Linked DNA regions of Sus scrofa. The protein of the gene in region 2 interacts with the protein of the main gene of each other region in a biochemical or structural test. Links are inferred from orthologs where the notes say so. Each region holds a gene or a part of one and is shown on either strand. Other genes may lie near its edges.

What was found.
Region 1: the proteins of CHM (region 2) and RAB7A are reported together in a solved structure, tested with the Homo sapiens proteins (2 studies listed by BioGRID, with this or other methods). The link is inferred for Sus scrofa from reciprocal best matches to the Homo sapiens genes CHM and RAB7A.

What each region holds. Positions count from the first base shown.
Region 1 is NC_010455.5:71,883,954-71,888,082, forward strand, and holds the start of RAB7A (ras-related protein Rab-7a), read right to left. Parts: upstream 2,806-4,129; 5' UTR 2,669-2,805; intron 1-2,668.
Region 2 is NC_010461.5:69,063,483-69,067,651, forward strand, and holds the start of CHM (rab proteins geranylgeranyltransferase component A 1), read right to left. Parts: upstream 2,803-4,169; 5' UTR 2,768-2,802; coding exon 2,719-2,767; intron 1-2,718. UniProt on the Homo sapiens protein: Substrate-binding subunit of the Rab geranylgeranyltransferase (GGTase) complex.

The DNA of each region.
Region 1 (4,129 bases), on a different chromosome or scaffold from region 2:
GAGTCTGCAACCTACACCATAGCTCATGGCAATACTGGATCCTTTCACCCACTAAGCAAGGCCAGGGATCCAACCTGAGTCCTCATGGATACCAGTTGGATTCATTACTGCTGAGCCACACAGGAACTCCATGATTAGCATGTTTGATATAAAAATATCAAGTCTTTTTTGTGGGCAAAAATTTTTCCTCAAAATTGTTTTCCATTTTACATGCTATTTTAATGTGTTTTTTAAACTTATTTTGACATAAACAGAAAAGTTGCAAAGATAGTAAAAAGAATCCCCATGTACCCTTCACCCAGATGTACTGCCTTTTAAAAATTAATTGCAGGGAGTTCTCATGTGGTGCAGTTGTCACTGCAGTGGGGGTGGGTGGGCAGGGTCGGTCTGATGCTTTGGTGACAGATTCAATCCCTGGCCAGGGAACTTCCATATGCCTTGGGTGCAGCCAAAAAAAAAAAAAAAAAATTAATTGCACACTATGAACATTTTTTTATGTCCACAGACACCATGGCCAACATTTATTACTGGCCAGGTGAGCCTTTTATCCACCATGACTCTGCTATCCCCACAATAACCCCTTAAGACGAATACCATAATTTCCCACGCCTCACATATGAATAAATCAGGCCTTAGATGCTTCCAAAATGTCACTTCACAATCCTTTGTTATGGATCTTTGATTCCTATATTTGTGCACCTACTCCTTAGGTTTTCGATGCCATCTCTAAGTAAGATTATCCACAAAATTCCCCCAAGCCTGCTGGCAGGGCTGAAGGGAGGTCCACAATCACCACAGCACCTTAAATCCATGTCCCATCACCAGGCTACGCCATGGCCCATAATGCACAATGACTGACTACATTTAAAATCTTATAGTGATCTTGTAAACAGCTTAATGTTTCATTTATGATTCAAAATTACCTCATCAAATTTAAATATGTAAATCATACTCTCCTCTCTGCAACCCTACTGGATATTAGTTCATGTAAAAATGTGTGTCCATCCTATGTTCACAGAGTTATTCACAGTAGCAAACAGTAGAAGCAAACCAGGTGTCTACGAACAGATGAATAAATAAAATGCGGTGTCAGGGTGGAAAAATTTTCCTTCTATTTTTCTAATTTCTTTGGCTAGTCTAATGGTTAAATTGTCATAAAAAAGATTAATAGGCAAGGAACCAACTTAATTTCATATGTATGGGAGCCCTATAAAAATAAGAAGGTAGTCAGGCAAGTGAGGCTTATCTGCCCTCCTGAGCTGAGGGAAGGGTTGGGGCTGGAGCTTCAGAGGGGAGGAGGGCCACTCACAAGAAGAGAAGAGCAGGGCAGAGGCTTGGTGATTAGATGTTTGTCCTGCCATGCATGTAAGTCTTTTATTTTATTTTATTTTGATTTATTTATTTATTTTTTGTCTTTTTGCTATTTCTTTGGGCCGCTCCTGCGGCATATGGAGGTTCCCAGGCTAGGGGTCGAATCGGAGCTGGAGCCGCCGGCCTACACCAGAGCCACAGCAACGCGGGATCCGAGCTGCGTCTGCAACCTACACCACAGCTCACGGCAACGCCGGATCGTTAACCCACTGAGCAAGGCCAGGGACCGAACCTGCAACCTCATGGTTCCTAGTGGGATTCGTTAACCACTGCGCCACGACGGGAACTCCCCAAGTAAGTCTTTTAGATAGAAAAGTTTCTCTCTGGTAATTGCTTTTTCTGGTCTGGTCCTTATTTAAATTCTTTTAGGCAGTTAAGGGAGAGCTACAGGCTTTCCCTCATATTGCTGGATACTGACTGCCTTTGGCTCAAAGCAACCCGCGTGCCAAGTTGGCACACTTGGGGTGGCTATTCCGCTACCCTTCAGGGCTCGTGAAAACCACAGAACATCAACCTGCCTTGAAAAAGAAAGGAGCGTGCTACAGCGCGAGTGAACCTTGAAGACTTTATGCTCAGTGATGCACACCAGTCACAAAAGGACAAACACTCCAGGCCTCCTGTATGAGGAAAGAACGGTGGTTGCCAGGGACTGGGGAGGGACAAATGTGGAGGTACCCTTTCAAGGGTACAGAGCTTCGGTCTTCGGCAAAATGAACTTATATAGAGCCTGATCACAGAGCAACGCGATGTATTTAATGCCACTGAACTGCACACTCGAAAGCGACTAAGATGGTTAAGTTCCACGCTGTGTGTATATCACCGATATTAAGTGTTTTTTAAACTTACACAGGATGTGTTTCACATTAATTAAATAAGCAAAGGGTCTCCGACCCGACGCTGTGCTCAGAGGCAGCCCGCTCCGCCGCCCCACCTCCCGGCAGGCCTCCTGGGTTAAGCGTCACTCTGAGGCGACCCCGCGGCCAGAGAAGAAAACCTGCGAACCTGGAGCCCCGCACTGAGCCTTACACATGTCGTTCCCAATGGAACGTTTCGGGATTTGCGTCTTCGCTCGAGGAGACCGAGGCCCCGTGAGTCTTAAAGGAAAACACCAAGCCCGCAACAGTGGGCCCCCATACACTTCCTGGGCTCGGCTTCTCACTCTGTACCTTTCGCGGCAGGTCACGCCTCAGAAAGGAGGGACATAGCTCAGACCCCGGGTCACTGCTGACTTCGCGGCCCAACGAGGCGCTCTGAGGGCGGGGGAGCCGGGTGGGGAGGGAAACACGCCGCCGCTCACTTTCATTTCCGGCCGCCCAGCCAACGCCTCCATCTTGTGCCTTCTGCCGCTTACTGACAACAAAGGCGCCGGGAAATTCCGCGGGAGCCGTCTTTGGCTAGAAGCCTGCTGCAAGCCCTACGCCAGGATCGCCGCGTGTCCCAGAAACAGAACAGCTTCTCAGCGTTCCGAACCGCCCCATAGGCAGCCGCCATTTTGTACGGCAAACCCCTCTATTTCCGCGACCGGCCGCTGACGTAACTGGCGAGGTGCAAGCCAACAAAGGCCGCGCTCATGCCCTCTGGCGGCGGTACAGGAGCAGCATCGCCAGCTTTGACCTGCGGGGGGACTCTGCTTCCGGGTCTTCTCGGGGGGCGTGGCCCGGACCTGTGAGCCGAGCTGGGGCGCGGCTGCGGTGGCCTGGGAACGTGTGTATTGGCATTGGCGCGGGCGCTGTGTGCTGAGCCAGCATGGCTTGATGGGCTCGGTGATCTGTTAGTCACCGTGTCGGAAAGGCCCGTGCTGTTGTTGCCATTTACAGATGAGAAAACAGCGTCCACCTTGCCCTCCCCATTCAACCTTAGTGGAGGTGGCCCGGAGGTCCCTCCTTTATATAAAATGGGGTGACGTTATCTAATGGGCAGGGCAATTGCAAGGACTGAGTTTTCCAATCACAGTATCTCCTTAAATCTCCGTTTCTTACCCACTCGTAATAGTAAGAACAGCAACCCCTTACAGCATGTGTACCACTTGGTCTACAACCCTATGAGGCTCGTTTTACAGGTGAGGACAGGGAGGAAGGCTCAAAGTCCCCCAATAGCTGGTATTGGGGACAGTTTGGGGTGAGAGATTGACTAACTGTAACTGCTACACATTCTCCCTGTCAGGTGTGTGCAAAAAAGGTGGTAAAGTAACGGAGCCCAACCCTCATAGTTGTTGCAGCCTCCTGGGACAGACACTGGGGCTTCTAAGGCCAGGCCCCTCAGGGGAGGAAAGAGATGAGGTAGGGAAGAAGAGGGGGAGTACCAGAGGGAATGGGCTGGAGGCACCGAGAAGCATCTTTGTCCCTTCTGCACCAAAAGTGAGGAAATGGCTTTCAGCCTGAAAAATGGGAATCTGGGATGATAGTAATGATGATAATTGCTACAACACACTGAGCAGTTACCACAGCTACCACAGTAAGCCTTAATCCAGCCTCAAAAATGGAGACAACTTGGGAAAAGTAGGTCCCTTATCCTTGGCAGTCTTTTACTTACCTATGAAGCTAGGGCAGAGAGGATCCCTGTCCTGGCCACCTAGCCAAGTTGTTATGAGCATAGAGTTTTGGTGTTCTCTTTGCCATCTGATGTGGCTTTTTTTTTTTTTGTCTTTTTGCTATTTCTTGGGCCGCTCCCGCGGCATATGGAGGTTCCCAGGCTAGGGGTCCAATCGGAGCTGGAGCCACCAGCCTATACCACAGCCACAGCAACACAGGATCCGAGC
Region 2 (4,169 bases):
ATTTTACTTGATGAAGCAATTGTCTCAACATTTTAACTAGAACTAAATCTGTTTTTAGTTCTTTTTCTCTTAAAACTGCATCTCATTGCCTATTTCTTCATGTTTCTAATACAGGCATGATTAATTCCACTTTTGTTAATACAACTGAATCTTTAAAATACTACTTTTTCTATGATTTACTCAAGCAAGCACATTTAGTAAGGCAAAACATTTTATTTATTTATTTTATGTATTTATATTTATTACATTTTATTTTTCTTTTTTTAGGGTCACATTTGTGGCATATGGAAATTCCTGGGCTAGAAGTCAAATTGGAGTTGCAGCTGCCAACCTATGCCACAGCTACAGCAATAGAAGATCCAAGCTGCGTCTGTGACCTACAGCTCACTGCACCGCCAGATCCTTAATCCCCTGAGGGAGGCCAGGGGAGGAACCCATATCCTGGATACTAGTCCTGTTTTTAACCTTCTGAGCCACAACGGAAATTCCCCACGCAAAACATTTTAAAGGCTACTTTCAGCAAACTATTTTGGAAGATAAATATTCCAAACACATTAAAATAATTCTTGTTAATTAATGACTGGGGTTACTGGATTCATTTATTTGGGAAATGACTTTTACCCAATTTTTCCACTTTGACATACCTAAAAATAAAGCTACATATCATAAATTTGAGTAATGTACTTGATAAAAATGTGTTCATTAAGTGATATGAAAAACTTTTAACTTCAAATAAGTTTTCCCCATACTTTGAGAAATAACTTTACTCTCATGGAAATAAGTCTAAGATGAATCTTTTCCCAAATATCCAGGATGCCTCCTAATGCAATTTTCTGGATCAGTCACAGAATCTTCCTAACTCTCTTATTTTATGAGATTCCAACAGGATGGATGTAGTCCATATTATAAACTGAACTAGATGGCAAAATATTTCTTATATAAGAATTAACAGCACTTAATAATAAGAATTAGCACTCATCAATTAAAATTTTAATCAAGATAAGAAAAAAATCGCAAGGACTCAAGGTAATTTTTAAAACACCCTAAGTTCTGAGGTAGCAACAACAAAAAAGGGAGTAACATAGGACCCAAGTATGGATAACAACTATTCTAAAGCAGATGTTGTTCCAAGTTTTAGGATAGACTGGAGAGAATAGAGTCTAACTGAACCCTTCCAGCTCTCATCCAACATCTGTTCATAGCAGCTACAGCAAGGTTATCTGTAGCCATGCGGTGTTCAGGTTGAGAATAAATATGTCCTTGCTGTTTTGAGAACAATTACCCATGTACAAGAATAAGAGAATTTTTAGTTAGACAACACCTGAAAGGCTATCCAGTAAAGCCTTCCTATATTCAAAAACAAGGAAACTGAGACTCAGAGAGATTAAGTGCCTAGCTCTAGAAATTCACACAGCTAGTTAATGGCCAAGCAGGGTCTAGAACCAAGTTTTTCCAATTATTTCTATTCATATGGGTTAACTCTGAGGGTCAGAACCACTTATTCTCATTCTGGGATGGAATGGGCCTTTGGAAATTTACCAGTTGTGTGATCTTATGCAAACTGCGATCTCTCCAAGCCTTTTCCCCTCCTCTGTAAAGTGTAGATAAGACCTATTCTAACTAGGTTGTTGTGAGGATTACATATGGCTTGTAAAGTGCTTAGCACATCAATTAGCCAGTAATACACAATCGAAAATAGACAGTTTTATTATTTTTACTCCCGACCTGGAAACATGGCCACTCCTACTATTTGAGAAGACAATGAACTGAATTCATTAACACAATGGACAGGGTCTCATACACCAGAGCTTCTCCAGCCTACCACGTTCTGCAGACAGGAGAAAACCCCTCCCTACAAACTATTTCACTCCATCTAAAATCCATCCTTTACATTGTTAAAAACAATACATGAACTGCTGCCAAATGTTTTCTGCCACATGCTGTAACGTGTAATTTGTCAACTAGAAATTGAAGGGGAAGTTCTGTCACCACCCAAAACATGGAGAATAAACGATGGGGAAGAAAAGGGGGAAGATAAGATCACACACCTGAACTGGACACGCTTGTTCTCAGCTAATTTAGCTGTGGGTAGATAAGTGAGTGGTAGAAAACAAAACGCTTTCTTTCAGCACCATAAAGCAGGAATAATGGCTACCTCAAAAAATTACAACCCCCTAGGATTCTCAAGACAATAGAAAAGAATCCATTTCCTCGCTTTAGTAAATTAAAACGTACATGGGCAACAACTAACACGCTGTATCCGGGCTGCACTGCACCCTAAAACTTTATAAATATATGAAAAATTCCTACGAATGGCGAGACAAAATGATGGGGAGGATCACCTTGAAATCCACAAGAAGGAAATCATAATGTCATGCCAAAGGTGTCTCCATTGATAAAATCCCAACCCTCCATTCTCATGACACTGTACACCCACCTCCCTCTAAGGAAATTACAGGAATCACCCGCAGCAACCAACCTCGGCAATCGGCATCGACCAGATCGACCCCTACTCAAATGGCGCTAAGCACAGCCGGTCCAAGCCCCTCCCTGGAGCTGCCAAGTCCCGCGCTGACTCCAGACTACCTCACTTCCTTTCCGTCCTCCCTCTTATGCTCGACCCCCAACATTTCTCGCCGACCCTTGCCACTGACAGAGAGGGTAGGAACGGGAAAGACTTCCTACAGTTTGTCCAGGGAGTACCATAGCCACACATACCCGTCCCTATTACGATCACATCAAACTCCGAGGGGAGATTTTCCGCCATCTTGACAGGAAATGTGTCATGTGACTATTGCTAGGTGGAAATGAGATCAAGTTAGGCTTTGCAGAGGCAGAAGGCGGAAGGGGAAACAGTGCATTCTGGGTATTGTAGTTCTCGAGTGGCAGGTCCAGGTAGAAAGCTACAGCGTTATAGTTGAAATGTTTTACACGAGTGTTAAAAGCTGTATTCATTTTTCGGGCTAAGTGCAGTCGCGACTTTAGCCTGGAGTTTTGAGACACAAAAGAGATTTTTACTCTGACGGCTAGGATGAATGTGGGAAAACCTGGGAACCCCATGACACTGATGAAGCAAGAATTGTTAGGAGACAGGGAGGGCACAGTGAAATTGAAAGGGGATTGCTCTGTGAACAAAGGAAATTTTAATTCCAACCTGGAAACTGTTGCTTCCATCTTGTCTCTACTTTCGTTTTGGCCCCCCAGGCATAATTTTTCACACCAATACCTTCAAACTCTATCTGTTATCTTTTTGTCTTTAGGTCGCCCAAATGAAAAGCCACAAAAAAATTTTCACCCTAGTTTCGGCAGACTGGAACTCTCACTGCGTCTGTATTTGTTTTAGTTAGTCTAAACAGCCAACCTGGCAATATATATTTGCAAAATTAGTCTTGCTTTACAGAAGGAAAAAAAGATATGAAGGCATAGTAGTTGCTTCCTAGGCATTGATTGATTCTGAATATGGTTTTACATATATATATATATATATATATATATATATATACAGGAGTTCATACAAGATTCCCCCAGTAAGGTACCGCCTAAATGATCAAGGTAAAGTGAACATATATATATATATATATATGCCTTTTTCTTTTTTTTTTTTTTTTTTTAGGGCCGCACCTGCAGCATATGGAGGTTCCCAAACTAGGGATTGAATAGAAGCTACAGCTGCTGGCCTAAGCCACAGCCACAGCAGTGCAGGTTCTCAGAGGCAGCTACGACCTATACCACAGCTCATGGCAACACCAGATCCTTAACTCCCTGAGCGAAACCAGGGATCCAACCGACAACCTCATGATTACTAGTCGGATTCGTTTCCACTGCGCCACAATGGGGACTCCACAATGGACTTTCTGTTAAAGTGATTGTATTTGATGAGGGGGCTTAGATTGCCTGTGCCAAGCAGCTAATGCAACTCTCATAGGTATTTTGAAGTTTGATCTCCTCCCACCTGCATCCCATTTCCGTTATTTAAAATGCTTTGCTGTCTGACAATACCAAAGAAAAAAGAGAGGGAGAGGGTGCATGGAGTGAGAAAGGATACTTCTTTAATTCCAGAAATTCATTGTATAGTTGTTTTACAAGAGTGTCAAAATCATTCAGAGAATGCGATGGTGGGCCTTCCCTTAAACCACCGGACTGACCTCTGTGTTGTTTATGGTTCTTCA